Linked DNA regions of Mus musculus. The protein of the gene in region 1 interacts with the protein of each later gene in a pairwise test. Links are inferred from orthologs where the notes say so. Each region holds a gene or a part of one and is shown in the gene's direction. Other genes may lie near its edges.

Region 1 (4,164 bases):
TATTAACAATATGCATCGTCTCTAAACTCTAATCCCTGCCTCTCCCCGCTTCTCCCTCATCCATCTAGCCTTCCCTCCCCAAGTCTAGTCTTATCTTACTCTTGATTGTGGAGGAATAGCTCTCAGTCTATCATCCTCAAAAAAAGAAGAAACAAACAAAAGGAGGAACGGAGGGAAGGATGGAAAGGGGGGAAATATGGACTGGGAAGATGGTTCCATTGGTACAGGGCTTGCTGAGCAAGCTTGCTTGAGCACAGTAGGAGCCCCTGTAATCCCAAGCACTGAGGTAGGCACAAAAAGATTTTGGGTCTTTTTGGCCAGCCAGCCTAGCCAGGTTGGTGAGCTCTGGGTTTAGTGAGAGACCCTGTGTCAAAGAATAATGTGCAGTGTAATTGAGAAAGACTTGCTGGGCGGTGGTGGTGCACGCCTTTAATCCCAGCACTTGGGAGGCAGAGGCAGGTGGATTTCTGAGTTCCAGGCCAGCCTGGTCTACAGAGTGAGTTCCAGGACAGCCAGGTCTATACAGAGAAACCCTGTCTCGAGAAACAACAACAAAGAAAAGAAAAAAAGGAGATTGAAAGACACTTGCCGTTGACCCTCAACCTCCACGCAAGTGTAAGATGTGATGGTGTGAATGTAATCCCAGCATACATTCAAGCAAAACACACATTTTAAAAAATTATTTTGAGACAGGGTCTCACTGTGTTGCTCCAGCAGGCCTGGAACTGACCTCGCTGCGATAAACAGTGAGCCTCCACACAGGGCCTGATTGGCCTTTTCCAATACAGGGTCTGACTGATCGGGTTTTATTTTGTTTTAGACGGGGAGGGTCTCACTAAGTAGCCCAGGTTGACTTAGAACTCGGGATCCTCCTGCCTTCACCTCCCAAATGCCGGGATTACAGGCGCGTGCCACCCATCTCCGTTCTGTGCCTTGATTTCTAACATCACTCCTCTGCAGTCCAGGAGCGTCAGGGAAACCTCCAGCGTCAAAAACCGGGCTGTACTTTTCTTCTTTTCTTTCTTTCTTTTTTTTTTTTTTTAAGTTTTGCTGTTTTGAGACAGGCTTTATGTCTCCATGTCGCGCTGGAACTGTCTTTGTGAACCAGGCTGGACTCAAACTCACGGAACTCCTCTTGCCTCCGCCTCCCGCGTTCTGAGAGGCAAGGCGTGCACCGATCCGCCTACCTAAGCTGTAATTTTTCAAACTAGGGCTCTCGCGCCGTGCTCCGCACGCGGCGGCGGTTTCCCCTTTCCACCCGGCGCGCCGCGTCGACGACAGTGACGTCGGCGGCGGCGCGCGGCGCGGTGTACCCTGGGATATTTAAGTCCGCTCCGCGGCGCGGAGCCGCGATGTCTCCGGCGGCTGCGGCGGCTGACGGAGGCGAGCGGCGGCGGCCCCCGTTGGGCGGACGGGAAGGCCGGAGCCGGGCCCGCGGCTACGGAGGACCGGCGGGTGCTGCGGCCCTCGGCCTAGCGCTGCTCGGCCTCGCGCTCTACCTGGTGCCCGCGGCGGCCGCGCTGGCCTGGCTGGCCGTGGGGGCGAGCGCGGCCTGGTGGGGCCTGAGCCGAGAACCCCGCGGCCCGAGGGCCCTGTCGTCCTTCGTGCGCGACGCGCGCCGTCACCCGCGGCCAGCTCTCACCGCTTCACCGCCTCCGGCCAAGTCACCAGTCAACGGTAGCCTCTGCGAACCCCGCAGCCCGCTGGGAGGCCCCGACCCGGCTGAGCTCTTACTCATGGGCAGCTACCTGGGCAAGCCCGGCCCGCCCGAGCCTGCCCTCCGGCAGGACCCAAGGGAGAGGCCGGGGCGCCGCCCACCCGCACGCTCCCCGCCTCCGGCCTCGGCGGTCCAGCGAGTCCACCACGTCTACCCCGCGCTCCCCACCCCGCTTTTGCGACCCTCCCGGAGGCCGCCCCACCGGTAAGCCCCGGCGATCTTCCCAGGGTGGGGTCTCTGCGGCCGCGGATTTGACGTAGGGCTCAACCTGTAAATCGGATTTAACTCACCTCCCCTTTTTCTTTTCTTTGCCTTTTCCCTTTCTTTTTATCTCTACGCCCTTCCCTCCCTTTTCCCATTACTCTCTTTTCTCTTTATTTTTTTTCTTTTTCTTTTTTTTTTTTTTTAAGAGAGGGTATTTGATGGCATAGGCTGTCTAATCTCAACCCCGTTCTTTGGCTGAGCCTGTCCTTGAACTCATCCTCCTGCCTCGTCTTCTGAGCGAGTTCACTGATAGGATTACAGGTTTGCACCAGGTTGTATGCTGTGCTGGGATAGAACCCACAGCTTCAGTCATAGCAGGCAAGCTTGCCCTCTACCTATTCCCCAGCCTTTGGGTTTTTGTTCCCCCCCCCCCCCCCCCCGGAGACAGGATCTCATGTATCTGAGCTGTCCCTTGAACTCATGAGGGTGACTTTGGATTGCTGACCCTCCTGCCTTCACCTACTAAATGCTGGGATTACCGGTGTGCTCCACTACACTCAACCCGGATTCTGGATAAAAGCATTTTTTTCTTTTTAAATTGCATATTCACAGGGAGATGAGAGGATAGCTTGCTGGAGTCCTTTTTCTCTTTCCACGTGAATTTGAGGTTGATCTTGGGTCTCCAGCTTGGCAGCAAGCTCCTTCACAAGACGTTTCACTGGCCTTGATAAGTCTGCTTAGTTGAGGTGGTGAATACCTGTTAATGTTTGGTTTTTGCTGTGTATTGGTGGTTAGTTGGGGGAAAGGAAAAAAAAAAAAACTATTCCTACACATCCCAACTGCATGTGCTTTTCTTCTGAAGTACCCATGTGGGCAAGGTTTCCAGTTTCCCTCTTAATTTGATGAAGTCTGTGGTAGAGACAGCCATTAAGCAACTGATATTTTCTGCCTTTGGATGAAATGGGAGAAATGTGCCAAAAAATGCTACGTTCTCTGCTGCTTAGAGAAATTTAAAGTCTGAGCTGTTAGTGTCATAGAGTGCTTTGTCCAGCATGCACACACCCCTAGTTTCTGCTACCAGCACTGTCTAACAGAAAAATAAGAGGTTGAAAGAAGTGTTAATGCCTCTTGTTTCTGCAGTCAGTTGAATTTGGTGTTCTTTTAAGACTGTGGTTCCAGACTGGAGAGATGACACAGTGGTTACTAGCACTGGCTGCTTGCTCTTCCAGAGGTCCTGAGTTCAATTCCCAGCAACCACTTGGTGGCTCATAACCATCTGTAATGGGATCCGATGCCCTCTTCTGGTGTGTCTGAAGACAGCTACAGTGTACTCATATAAATAAAATAAATTAAAAAAAAACAAAAACAAAAACTGTGGTTCCATCAAGTGTCTGTCTCCTGTTCTCCACAGAGATTGTGGGCCTTTGTCCAGTCGGTTTGTTATAACACCCCGAAGACGATATCCCATTCAGCAAGCCCAGTATTCCTTGCTTGGGGCACTTCCAACCGTCTGCTGGAATGGTGGCCATAAGAAGGCTGTGCTGTCTCCACGGAACTCCAGGATGGTGTGCAGCCCAGTGACAGTGAGGATTGCCCCTCCAGACAGCAAGCTATTCCGCTCATCAATGTGAGTACCTGTGTGTGTGTGTGTGTGTGTGTGTGTGTGTTTGTGTATACAAACTTGTGTGTGCAAGTAACCTTCTGTACCTGTGTGGACACCACCAGAAGAAGGCCTCAGGACTCTATTGCTCTCGCTTTTTTTCCTTTCAGGCCAGAGTCTCGCTGACCCTGGGGATCATGTTTGGGTCTAGCTGTTGAAGCCCCAGCTGGCCTTTTTCCCTTGGAGCTGTGTCTCTAGGGGTATGCAGGATGCCAGAGCCATTTCTCCAGTGTGCAAGCGTGCAGGCATGCACACATTCATAGACCAGGCTGGCCTAAAATTGCCTGAGTAGCTCAAGCTGTCTGGAAACTCAGGATGATCCTCCTGCTTCTCACTGTTGGGATTAAAGGCTCACGCCACCATGCCTGACCTGTAGTCATGGTAGTTTCTACACATAGATGAGCCAAGGTCTTGCTTAGCTTCTAGTTTCCGTTCTGTTCTGTATGTGCATGGGAGTTAAAATATCCTGTCTCCAGAATCTTGTCTTTCATTATAGGTCAGAGCAGATACTCGATACAACACTGTCTTCACCATCAAGTAATGCCCCAGATCCTTGTGCAAAGGAGACTGTCCTGAACGCCCT
Region 2 (4,073 bases), on another chromosome or scaffold:
CGACTGTCCTGGAACTCACTCTGTAGACCAGGCTGGCCTCGGACTCAGAAATCTGCCTGCCTCTGCCTCCCAAGTGCTGGAATTAAAGGTGTGCGGCGTGCGCCACCACGCCTGGCTCAGAGTGCACAATTTCTTATTTTTCTGAATTTTGACACGACTTACTTATTTCTTTGCTGGGGTTTTGCTACGCTTCTGAGCTGATCCAGAATGCCCGGGCTCAAGGGATTCTCTTGCTTTAGCCTCTGACTGCTGAGACTTTACAAGCCTGTGCTACTGTGTTGGGATACCTTGCCAGTTTGAAACACTGAGCAGCGCTGTCTACTATTCCTCCGCCATCTTTGTAGTGTGCATGTGTGTGAATTCTTATTCTTTTCTTTCTGTAATCCTGGCCATCTGTCCTTTCCTTTAAGGGCAGTGCACTTTTGGTCTTACATCATAGACCTTGTCCTGATAGTCTTGTTCTGGTTTTATCCAATATAGAGAATCTAGACAGGATTCCAAGGCGGAGGATCAATATACCGTAAAGGCCAAACGGGAGTGGCTTTTGACGAGAAGCAGAGACGGGGAGCTTTTTAATGGATAGCAAGTGCTCCGGTCTTGTCAGGTGGTTTCGTTCATCTTGTATATGTATGAGTGTGTATGTGTGTGTGTTATGACATCAGAGCTTCAAGTGTGTGTGTTATCGAACTCGGGACCCCACATCTGCAGCCCAGGTTTTAGAACTAGCAAGAAGAAACAGACATTTGAACATACTTTTTTTTTTCTTTCTGGTTTTTCGAGACAGGGTTTCTCTGTATAGCCCTGGCTGTCCTGGAACTCACACCAGGCTGGCCTCGAACTCAGAAATCCACCTGCCTCTGCCTCCCAAGTGCTGCGCCACTTCTTAGAGATGCTTTGAGGCAATATCTTTGGAACGAGAAGTTTGTGGGCAGCGGAAGTTGGTCATTTAAATGATGGGGGGTGGTGGTGGGTTATGGACGGCGGGAAGCTCAGCGCCAATTCAGTGACTGTTAGCGGAAAGGCGTGCAAGAGCGGGAAAGAAGGCGCCAAAAAAACCGCATCCAAGAACGAGGGGCCGATGGGATGCGCACGAGAGTTTTTGAACATTGAATCAGACCAATCACAGAGCGTGACTCATTCTGTCTGCACGACGAGGGCGGGGCACTGAGTGACAGACAGACCAATCACAGAGCGTGACTCTCTGGTAAAGCGTGAATCTCTCCTTCCGGCCTCGGCTTCGGGCCACCAGAGACGGAGAGACGGAGACGGAGTCGGAGACGCGAGACGCCAGCAAGCGTTTCGGGTGTGGGAGAGCAGACGCCTCCCTGTTTAACAACTTTCTCCTGGATTTGCAGCTTCCTCAACGTCCCTGCACCTTCAGGTAATAAGTAATGGGTATAGTTTTCTGGCAGAAGTGTCTTTTTGAGAAATTAGAGACTTGAGGACAGAATATTAAAATATATTCGTGTTCCATAGGCTGGAGCCAGACATTTAAAAAATGGACCGCATTACTGACTTTTACTTCTTGGACTTCAGAGGTAAGCAAGCTTTGTATGATAACATTTATTTTATGACTGATTGAAATCCTCGAGATGAACTGGTTGCTGCAACGGCTGCCCTTTTGGGTTTCGGTGTTGTTCCTTTATGAAATCCATGTCTGAATCTCCCATAGACAATTTTAAGGTGTCTCATCCGCCCAGTCTCTGCAGTACTTCGTCTCTTAGCCTTGGCACTGCAGTTAGACTTTTGCTTGCGCTTGGCAGGGTAGCCACGTTTGCCACAGATAGATTTCTGATAGTGGTCGTCCTTAGAGCCACGGAGACCGGCGGTACAATGTGTGCCTGTTTTTGGGATGCTTTCCAAAGGATGCCGTTCCTTTTGTCATGTTGCTTCTACCTCCGAGGCCAAAGAGACTGGAAGAGCCCCTTTTTGGCTTTTTTTTTTTTTTCAAGACAGGGTTTCTCTGTGTAGCCCTGGCTGTCCTGGAACTCACTCTGTAGACCAGGCTGGCCTCGAACTCAGAAATCCGCCTGCCTCTGCCACCACCGCCTGGCTTCCTCTTTGGCTTCTTGAGACAGAGTTTTTACTCTGTGTCTCAGGCTGACCTAGAACTTTATGTAGCCCAGGCTATCCTCAAACTTGCAATCTTCCTACCTAAGCTTCCAGAGTGCAGGTGTCAAACACCACACCTGGCCTATAATCCCAGCATTTGTAAGACTAAGGCTGGAGCAACACCTCAAATATTGTTTCCCAAAACAAAACCAAACAAAATGAAAACAAGCTCGGAGAGAGCTCTGTGGCAGTGTTTGCCTTCCACATGTAAATCCCTGGAGTGGAGGCCCAGCAGTGCAGTTTGTCTCATAAGTTTGTCTTTTCACAGTACTCAGTGCACCAGTTTTCCTCATGTATGTACCAGAAATAATATTTGGAACCTTTTATGAACTAGTGTAAGGAAACAAAATTGACAATCCATAGCTTATTTTCTGGTCATAATCTATAGCTTTTCCCCAGGAATTTTAGGAGATGCGGAATCATACTGTTTAACCTGAAAAAATACTGTGTAAAAAGTATATTTAAGCTGGGCAGTGGTGGCGCATCCCTGTAATCCCAGCACTTGGGAGGCAGAGGCAGGTGGATTTCTGAGTTCGAGGCCAGCCTGATCTACAGAGTGAGTTCCAGTACAGCCAGGGCTACACAGAGAAACCCTGTCTCGAAAAACCAAAAAAAAAAAAAAAAAAAAAAAAGGACATTCAGGAAGTTGTTGCAAGCAGATGGGCAGCTAACAATATAAACTTATTCTTGGAGATGATGCGGCTGTTAAGATCTTATCTTGTCCTAATTGTAAGGCCTGAATAAGGGCAGTTAGCTTGCCTCTAAGGCAGGGGTTTGAGGAACGAGCATATTTGCTTCTATAGTATCAAGGCAACGAAGTATTGTATGTTCTGCTTGTAAAATGATTTTTTTCAGAAAAAAAAATGCTGCCATCCACAAGCCATTCAACCTCAGGGCTATAAAGAAGTTTATCTTTAAGAAATTTAAAATTTATTTACTGTTAGAAAAACTAACTGTAAGGGCAGGTGAGATGGCTTAGCCAGTAAAGATGCTGGCCACCAAGCCTGGTGTCCCGAGTTGATCCCTGGGATCCACATGGTGCAAGGAGAGAAGAAATTCTGGAAGATTGTCTTCTGACCTCTATACTGGTGACATGTTACACATATGCACTTATAAGTGCACACGTGTGCGGAAACACACAAACATACACACAGACACACACACACACACACACACACACACACACACACACACACACAAGCAATTCCTGAAAGATAGGAGGCTAGTTTGAGGCCATCCTAGGCAGTATAATGAGACCATGCCTTGAGTAAGCTTCACATATACCTTTTCATATGGTAGGTTTGGAGACAAATTCTTATTTTCCTTTGTTTGGACTTTTAGCTTCTTTAGTTTGTTGTTATATAGATGCCCTTGTGATTTATTATTATAATATCCAAGTTTATATTTTCTTTTACTGATGTATTTATGATTGCTCATTCTATAAAGTCTTTTGAAAATCGAGCTGGGTGTGGTGGTGTATACCTGTAATCTCATCACTCCCAGACGCTAACACAGGAGGATTGTGAGTTTAAGGGTATCCTGAACTACATAGTGAATTTGAGGCCCCCTTAGGATATAAAATGAAACTGCCAAAAATGTATTTAAAAAACCTTGAATATAGTTGTATGCAATACCAGCCCCTGCCTAGTAGAAATTAATGAGCTACATATTTAATTTAAAATATTCTTTTTTTTAATGGTTTTTCGAGACAGGGTTTCTCTGTGTAGCCCTGGCTGTCCTGGAACTCACTCTGTAGACCAGGCTGGCCTCGAACTCAGAAATCCGCTTGCTTCTGCCTCTCAAGTGCTGGGATTAAAGGCGTGTGCCACCACTGCCTAATTTAAAATATTCTAGTAGACACATTAAACAGTATAAATAAATAGATGAAATTAATTTTAAAAAGATTCACTTATTTTTATTTTATATGTAAGGGTATTTTGATTGCATGTCCATCTGTGCAT
Region 3 (4,046 bases), about 1.9 Mb from region 1:
TGCAGATGGCTACCATCTTAAGCATGGTGCCTGCCTGGCACAGTGCCCGGCTCCGGATCTTCCTGTGCTTGGGGCCCAGGGAGGCTCCTGGGGCAGCAGAGGGAAGGCTTCGGGCCCTGTTGAGTCAACTCAGGATCCGGGCAGAGGTGCAAGAGGTGGTGTGGGGTGAAGGGGCAGAGACTGGCGAGCCTGAGGAGGAGGAAGGGGACTTTGTGAATGGTGGTCGAGGAGACGAAGAGGCTGAGGCTCTAGCTTGCAGTGCCAATGCCCTGGTGCGAGCACAGCAGGGGCGAGGCACCGTAGGAGGCCCTGGGGGACCCGAAGGAAGGGATGGGGAGGAGGGACCCACCACAGCCCTTACCTTCCTGTACCTGCCTCGACCGCCTGCTGATCCTGCTCGCTACCCCAGATACCTGGCACTGCTGGAGACCCTGAGCCGTGATCTGGGTCCCACCCTTCTTATTCACGGGGTCACTCCGGTAACCTGCACTGATCTCTGATGCCTGTTCATACAGGGTTGGATAGAGCGGGCCCAGGCTCATTCTGAGCAATGGACGCCCCTCCCCCCGCCCCAAGTGGGCCCTGCCCTTTGGATGATGTGTTAAGGGGACCATGGTCTCCTTTGGGCGGGGGAACGGACATAGTACACTAATTCTAGGTGGCTGCCCCATTGTAGGGGAGGACATTGCGGCCCTGTCCCTGGTCTTCCTCCGCTTCCTTCACTGGTGCCTTGACCAGAGGGGCTGGCCTCTTCTGTGACTCTAGGCTACCTCAGTGTCCCCATCCTGGCCACAGACGCACCGCCTCCCTCTCCCCGACTTCCTTGGGTGGTGATGTTTGTGTTTTGTTTTATTTTTCTAACTACTGACCATAAATAAAAGACCGAAACACTATGGGCTGGTGGAGCACTGCTGGTGGGTAGGTGAGAGGCAGCCGGGTGGGAAGGGAGAGAACCGTGAGGGGGTGGAGACAGATGCGTTCAGAGCCTGGGCCGAGAGGCTGCCACGTGCAAGACTGGGGCAGGGATCCGAGAGAATTGCTGGGCCAGAGCCTCTCAGAGCGGCCTGCAGCCCACCCTGCAGCTTGGCTCCGGAGGAGGGCGGTCTTCTCTTAACAGGAGGGGGCCAGAGAGGGGAAGGATTGTAGAATAAGGCTTGGGGCCACGTGACCCTCCCCTGGAATGTGGTGACGTCAGGGGGCGTGGTCGTCTCCAAAATTGGGGAGGAAGGGAGGAAAAAAAGCCAGAAAAAGTTTCTTTGCGGGAGTCCCAAACGGGGCGTGGGACAGTAAGGGAGGGAAAGGGCCCAAGGCTCCGAGCTCCAGGCTCTGAGCTTGTGGGGACCCTGACCTCTGTCTGGAGTGGAGTAACCCTATTCCAGACCATGTCCGGGCCCACCTGGCTTCCCCCGAAGCAGCCAGAACCCTCCAGACTCCCTCAGGGGAGATCGCTGCCCAGAGGCGCCCTGGGCCCGCCAACGGCCCACGGAGCAAGTAAGTGTTCCTCTCTCACACACGCCGGAGTAGCAGAAGAGCCGCTGGCCACCTTCCTTCACCTTTTCTCCCTTGCCTGCCTGCTTCCTGCTGTCCCTTTCCCAAACCAGAGGCCCCAGCTCTTGTGCAACTTTCCCTGACTCTTGGTTGATTCCCAGACTCCCGGGAATGTGAAGAAGGAGAGCCACCCTTAGAAGGGCAGCTCTACCGAGGTACCCTTCTCCAGTCCCACCTCCTGTCTCTCCCTTTAGCACTCCAGCCTCACCCCAGGGTCAACTTTTGCCCCCTCCCGCCTGAACACTGTTATCAGCCTCCGGGGGTACCGGAAGATCGGGGGCCTACTTGGGTGGGATCCCATGGAACACCCCAGCGCCTGCAGGTGAGAAGTGGAGATGAGGGTAGGGTCTCTCAGGGTCAAGGTGAAAGAAGTCTAGGTCGGGGGTGTCATCAGCATTTGTTCTTCCTCCTTTCCCTCTGTCTCAGGGGCTCCCTCCAGACAGGGGGATCATCCGCCCTGGCAGTCTGGATGCTGAGATAGATTCGCTCACCAGCATGTTGGCTGATCTGGACGGGGGTCGCAGTCATGCACCTAGGCGGCCAGACAGACAGGTGACTTCCTGTGTTCTGTCTCTGCTTCCCCATCCTCAGCCAGTTCCCTGCCCTAGCTTCTCAGCCTCAGTCCACCCTCTTCACTGCCCACCTACCCTCTTTGCAACTAATAAACACCTGGTTCAAGGAATCACGCACTTCCTCCTTGGCAGGCCTAGGCCATGGGAACTTGTCAGAAGTCATTGCTACCCTGGGGTTCCCACCTGGCACGCATGGATCTTGGGTCTGGCTTTACTGTTTCTGCATTGCTTGTCTTCCCAGGCTTTTGAGGCTCCCCCACCCCATGCTTACCGCGGAGGCTCCCTGAAGCCCAGTGGAGGTGCTGTTCCAACCCCGATGCTCCCAGCATCCCACTATGGTGGACCTACCCCAGCCTCCTATGCTACCGCGAGCACGCCAGCTGGCCCTGCTTTCCCTGTACAAGTGAAGGTGGCTCAACCTGTGAGAGGCTGTGGACTGCCCAGGCGAGGGGCCTCTCAGGCCTCTGGGCCTCTTCCAGGCCCCCACTTTCCTCTGACAGGTCGTGGTGAAGTCTGGGGGGCTGGCTATAGGAGCCACCGAGAGCCAGGACCGGGGGTTCCGGAGGGACCTTCTGGAGTACATATCCCTGCAGGAGGAGGGAGAGGAGGTGGGCATGAGCCTCAGGTAAGCTGGGGCTGGGCACTGTGGTTTGTGGTCACCGGAAGTAACTGGGCATTGATTAGGTGGCGTGGAGGCCGAGGAGTACTTAAGATACTGTTTTTAGGAGATGTTGGTAGAGTGCTTGCTTAGTATGCAGGAATCCCAAGGTTCTAGACCCAGCACTGTATAAACCAAGTGCGGGGGAGGTAGAGGCAGGAGAATCAGTAAATTAAGGTCATATTTGACGCACATAATGGGTTCCAGGCCAGCCTAGGCTATATGAGACACTGTCTCAAATATAAATAAGTGCATAAGTCAATCCCAGTTTTAAGGTACTCAGAGGTCAAGGATCAAGATGTCCAAAGGGAAGGGGCTTCCTTTCCCCCTATCAGCTTCTGAGAGATGTCCTCTGAGATTTTGGGGTTCCTGACTGTATGAGTTATTTATGGTGTCTGAGACTATAGGCAGCGCCTCAAAGCCCCAATTCTCACTCTAGGGCCCCTTAGGCCAACCTCCTGAAGAGGAACTGGAGAGACTGACCAAGAAACTGGTGCATGACATGAGCCACCCTCCCAGTGGGGAGTACTTTGGTGAGCTGACTGCTGGATAGGGTGGAGACAGGGAGGAGACAGAGGATCTGCTGTTGTGGGTCTGTGGAGGCTGATCTCGTTCCTCTCTGTCCTCAGGTCGGTGTGGTGGCTGTGGCGAAGATGTGGTGGGCGATGGAGCTGGGGTTGTGGCCCTGGACCGTGTCTTCCATATTGGTTGCTTTGTGTGTTCTACCTGTCGGGCCCAGCTCCGGGGCCAGCACTTCTATGCTGTGGAGAGGCGGGCATATTGTGAGAGCTGCTATGTGGTGAGCGGCTGGGCTGTGACAGAGGGATGCTAAATGAAGCATCAAGTCAGACAGGCAGGTTCCTGTCTAAGAGAGGGCCAGATACTCAGTCGGGTGGGACTGGAAGTCGGGTGAGGTATAAGAAGGAAGAAGCTAAATGTGGTGAGTTGGGCCTATCTGGAGGAGAGCCTGAGCTGCAGAGCAAGTCTGAAGGCAGCCCAAGGCGCAGGTTTCCCAAGATCAATTGGTCCATCACCCAAAGGAACATCTTGGGTTTTGTTTCTTTGATTACTTGTTTGCTGTTTTGAGATAATACGTCTCATGTCCCAGGCTGGCCTGAGACTCTTATGTGTAGCTAAGGAAGACCTTGAATTTCCTCCTTCTATCCATGAGATACGGGGATTCTGGGTGTGGGCCACCAGACCTGTTCTTTGTGGTGCTAGGAATGGAACCCAGGGCTTCGTGCATGCTGGACAAACACTTTACCAAC
Region 4 (4,345 bases), on another chromosome or scaffold:
TTTTATTTCAATTTGGTAATGTGCCAGTTTTTAGTTACCAAATAATGCATTAAAAACCCCAGTCTCAAATGTGTAGTCTAATAGAAGGCACATGATTAACCTTTCTATTAGAAGGCATTAAAGGCTAAGCCTGACCATCAGGTTTGGAGATCTTAAGTATATATTAAATGTAAGTTACATAGGAAATTATTTAATAGATGCTCAGTAAATAAATGTAATTGGGTTAAGTCATCTGTTTTGTTTTTCAAAGACAGTTTTCTGTGTAGCCCGGGCTGTCCAGGAATTCACATTGTAGACCAGGCTGGCCTTGAACTCACAAAGATCAACTTACCTCTGCCTCTTGATTGCTGAGGTTAAAGGCTTGTGCCACCACACCCAGTTGCCTTGAGTTTTTTGTTTTTAATATATAAAGATTTATTTTTTTTTTTTAATGTACACAAGTACACTGTAGCTGCCTTCAGACACCAGAAGAGGGCATCAGATCCCATTACAGATGGTTGTGACCCATCATGGGATTGCCTGGGAATTGAACTCAAGACCTCTGGAAGAGCAGCCAGTGCTCTTAAACACTGAGTCATCTCTCCAGTCCTACCATGAGTTTTTTAAGTTTCAAATCTGGCGGCTGGAGAGATGGTTCAGTGGTTAAGATCACTAGCTGCTCTTTCAAAGGACCTGGATTTTGTTACCAGCTCCCGCATAGCAGCTCACAGCTGTCTGAAATTCCAGTTCCAGGGGAACACTCTCTCACATACATACATGCAGGCAAAACACCAATGCACATTAAAAAACAAAATGAAAAAAAAAAGATTGTTCAATAGTAGAGTGAGGGGTGCCTGGTTAGAAGCACCACTAAGCCTTGGAGTCTAGGTATATAGATAGAGAAGTTCAAAGTGCTCTAGAGGCAGAAAGAAGCAAGAGGGCTTAGTTTTAGGCTTGTCTGAGTTACACAGCCCGACGTTGGTCTTTCTTTTCTTTTGAAGCTGGACATGGTAACTAAACGCCTGTACCAGTTTATAGTTTCCTAATGAAACCTGTATCCACAACCTGTTTTAGGTACCTTATACCACTCAAGCCTAAGGGCGGGGCAGGAAGGGGGCGCTAATAAGTTTCTCCAGTCTTGTTCAATGTAGGGATTCAAACTCAGATCTGAATGCTTCTTAGCCATCTTTGAGTCGCCGTCTCCTAGTTCATCCGTCCGTCTGTAGTCCTGGTTTCTATCACCTCTATGGGCTTCTTAACCTTACAAGCAAATTAGCTGAGGTTTGTGTTTGAGCAAATAGGATATCTCACACAGGTTTCACAAAAATCTTGTTCACGGGAATAAATCCCGAAAATACCCACTTATTGAAGATATCCGGTGGGAAAGCAACTGCGGGTCTCCTGAGTGTATAGGCAACTGCCCTATCCCTGAGACAGGGAAACCTTTCCGTTGCTGAGGCGACAGACACGACCTGGCCGTTTGGTTCTCCCGCGCACCCAGATGACGTCAGGCGGCGAGATTCTCTTACGCCAAAGCTTCCGGCTCACCATCTTTGTCCCTGGCAAATTGGGTTTTGCGCAGTGGCTTAGATCTAGAGAGAATCGTGACGGGCAGGAAACCATTACACCACCACCCCGGCTGTGCTCTCCGACTGCCGCCGCCGCCGCCGCCACCCCGCCCTTGCCTCCGGTGAGTTCAAGGCGGCTGGCTTTGGGGTGTGCCCTGACTGACTCGCGGTGCTTGTGAGGGAGGGGAGCCCCAAGCCGGGTCATAGGCTCAGGAGGAAAGGAGAGCCGAGGAGCGTGACGGTTGAGGGTGGAAGGAGTCCTCGGGTGTGACCGTTGTGAGGGAAAAGCTGGGAGAAAGTGCCTCCATCGTAGTGACCGTGGTGGCCTGGGGCTGCGCTCCGGTGTAGCAGCGGGAGTTGGGGGCTTCGGAGCGAAGCAAGGTTCCGAAGACCGGCTTGGGGAAGGCTCAGGCCAGGGGTGTGGCCGCTGGAGGCCGAGGGAGAACCACCCAGCTCTCCCGTTTGACATCTGTTCATTGAGAAAGAAGCTCCGACGTGTCTCCACGACTAGGGAGAAGGGATTCCCGCGACCGTTTGGTCACTGAAACCTCTCTTGTCGCACGTATTTGGGGTTAAGAGGCATCTCTCCTTACCTAGTGAAAATTGGACAGATTTCTTGACCTGGGGAAGTGGATAAAGAGAATGGGGACTAACTGTACTTCGAGGAAGGAAGGAGAAACCTGCATAATTGAGGCCACCCCCACCCTCTGTGTAAGAGGGGAAAATAAATCTTAGCATGGAATTTTGTTTTTCTTTTTTTTTTCCCCCCTCCCTATATTCCCTGGGGTTATCAGGAGCAGTCTAGTTTGGGCAAGGCTGTAAATTCTACTAGAAGTGAAAAAAAAAAAACAAAACAAAACCCTGGAATTTCCTGCTATTTCTTTATTCTTTGAATTCACAGGATGTATTAGCTTTTTGAGCAGCCCTCTTTTTAGGAGAAGGCTCTTATTAAACTCAAGCAATTTAGTTATGAAGCAGTGTGAATGTGTCATGGATGCTTCGCTGAATTTTTTTACTTTTAGAAGGGAGATTTTTTTTTCTTTTATTTTAGTGGCCAAACTTTTTTTTTTTTTTTGCAACCTTTGTGGTTTAAAAGACAAAGAACACACTGTAAGCTCAGTAAGGCTAGTGACTAAGAAGGAAGGTGGTCTCTTAGAGAGGAACAATTTAAATTATTAACTGCTCTCCTGTGCAGTTCACTGCTTAGCCTTAGGGTGCACTTACAAGGTAATAATAGAAAGCGGCAGGTGAAGTAGGTGCAGCCATCGGTAACACATTCCAGTGATGACTAAGTGAGGCGGGCGGGCATGTAAACTGAGAACTGAGTAGGTGCCTTGCAGGGTAGACTCCCTGAGAAAGAGAGGGGAGTGTGCGCTGCAAACAGCTCAGTCAAGTTGTGTGGTAAATTAAAACAGAGTAAATATCCTGATGAATTAAGATCAGAGAGGTCCCTCGCATCCTTTTCTTCTGGAAAAGATTTTGCTTTCGTCTCAAGGCACACATTTGAACCATGTTAGACAAGGGGCATTCAGAAGGAGGATAGCATCCCCATTTTTCTTCTTTCCTCCTGGGCTTAAGTTTTCCAAAATGTCCTGGCATTTCATAACAGTTGGGTGTAAGACTGTTGGGCTTCTTTCTTTCCGTATAATCCTATATTAATAAATTAACTTGTAGTTATTTAAATAGAAGCCAGAGGTGGATTTAGCTTTTAACGTTTTATTTCTGACAAGCTAAATTAATCTGAGGCTGCTGCTGTCCTTATGTTATGAACATCTGGCCAGCAATGGTCTTTATACCACTCATCCTTGTAAGCAGAGGTGACTGGAATGACTTTCTGCTTTAGAATTTACTGAACTCTGGCTAGTATTGACTTCATGTGCAAAGGAGGGCACAGTGGTCTTGCTAGTGCTAACGCTGGCTGCCATTTTCCAGAGAACCATTTGAAATTAAGACCTTATAATTTTTTTTTTCTGACTGTATTCTACCCAGCCTATTAATCTTGTTTCACTGCTGAGCTGCTCTTTTGGGGAATTGGAGGAAGGGAAGGCTGGAAGGAGAGAAAGGACTTCGACAACCTATATTTATCAGAAACTAGGTTATGTTAATCTAGATATATAACCTTGTACAGGGAGGCCTGGGAAAGGCAGTGGAGCAATGCTGTGGACTAGGACAAGTCCAAGGATCCTTGCCTTGCCCTGTGGCTGCTCTGTCCTTTAACAATGTCCCCAGGCCACACGATAAGTCAGTCAGTGACCTTTCAGGTTTCATGTCGTATAAGATTGTGTACGTTCAAATTCCATTGTGGCTTGTTTATTTCTAGGGATTTCCTGAAAAACAAAAATTTGCCCCAGTAAGATTGAGTTTTGAAGCACTAGGCAAGTTGAAATTGTGTTTTTCCCGTTCTCTTGTGGCTTGTGTGTGTGTGTCTTATGTGTGTGTGTCTTCTACTATAGGCATCAGTGTCTATCCGGCAAGTGTGGGGGGCTTGGATTAAAAAATAGTTATATGTCATTGTGAGTTGAAAGTCACGGGGACATTAAAGTTCTGTCATTACCACCTCTTCTCCTTTTAATTAAATACTTAAAATTCATGCAAGTATATAATGTGTTTCGATCCAGGCCATCCCTGCCCCCATCCTTCCTTTCTACTGTTGCTTTTGTTTAGACTATTTTCATTTTTCCTTGTCCCTCCCACCCCCTTAAAGCAAGGATAGACTGGATACCTTTTTTCTTTGCCTGTATGATGGTGATTATTTCATCACAATTATTGGCTATGGTGTCAGTTAAATGAGTGATATA

Evidence for each region.
Region 2: the proteins of Pom121 (region 1) and Tex11 interact in binary tests that used the Homo sapiens proteins (3 or more experiments, as listed by UniProt). The two-hybrid records come from large-scale screens. The link is inferred for Mus musculus from reciprocal best matches to the Homo sapiens genes POM121 and TEX11.
Region 3: the proteins of Pom121 (region 1) and Trip6 interact in binary tests that used the Homo sapiens proteins (3 or more experiments, as listed by UniProt). The two-hybrid records come from large-scale screens. The link is inferred for Mus musculus from reciprocal best matches to the Homo sapiens genes POM121 and TRIP6.
Region 4: the proteins of Pom121 (region 1) and Ap2b1 interact in binary tests that used the Homo sapiens proteins (3 or more experiments, as listed by UniProt). The two-hybrid records come from large-scale screens. The link is inferred for Mus musculus from reciprocal best matches to the Homo sapiens genes POM121 and AP2B1.

The regions. Positions count from the first base shown.
Region 1 is NC_000071.6:135,391,694-135,395,857, reverse strand, and holds the start of Pom121 (nuclear envelope pore membrane protein POM 121), read left to right. Parts: upstream 1-1,311; 5' UTR 1,312-1,352; coding exon 1,353-1,921; intron 1,922-3,332; coding exon 3,333-3,548; intron 3,549-4,077; coding exon 4,078-4,164. UniProt on the Homo sapiens protein: Essential component of the nuclear pore complex (NPC). The repeat-containing domain may be involved in anchoring components of the pore complex to the pore membrane. When overexpressed in cells induces the formation of cytoplasmic annulate lamellae (AL).
Region 2 is NC_000086.7:101,056,821-101,060,893, reverse strand, and holds the start of Tex11 (testis-expressed protein 11), read left to right. Parts: upstream 1-1,254; 5' UTR 1,255-1,381; intron 1,382-1,476; 5' UTR 1,477-1,498; coding exon 1,499-1,538; intron 1,539-4,073. UniProt on the Homo sapiens protein: Regulator of crossing-over during meiosis. Involved in initiation and/or maintenance of chromosome synapsis and formation of crossovers.
Region 3 is NC_000071.6:137,311,405-137,315,450, reverse strand, and holds the start of Trip6 (thyroid receptor-interacting protein 6), read left to right. Parts: upstream 1-1,209; 5' UTR 1,210-1,382; coding exon 1,383-1,491; intron 1,492-1,742; coding exon 1,743-1,870; intron 1,871-1,974; coding exon 1,975-2,100; intron 2,101-2,361; coding exon 2,362-2,745; intron 2,746-3,217; coding exon 3,218-3,311; intron 3,312-3,407; coding exon 3,408-3,577; intron 3,578-4,046. Other genes in the region: Slc12a9 (solute carrier family 12 member 9), read left to right, coding at 1-500. UniProt on the Homo sapiens protein: Relays signals from the cell surface to the nucleus to weaken adherens junction and promote actin cytoskeleton reorganization and cell invasiveness. Involved in lysophosphatidic acid-induced cell adhesion and migration.
Region 4 is NC_000077.6:83,301,169-83,305,513, forward strand, and holds the start of Ap2b1 (AP-2 complex subunit beta), read left to right. Parts: upstream 1-1,528; 5' UTR 1,529-1,669; intron 1,670-4,345. UniProt on the Homo sapiens protein: Component of the adaptor protein complex 2 (AP-2). Adaptor protein complexes function in protein transport via transport vesicles in different membrane traffic pathways.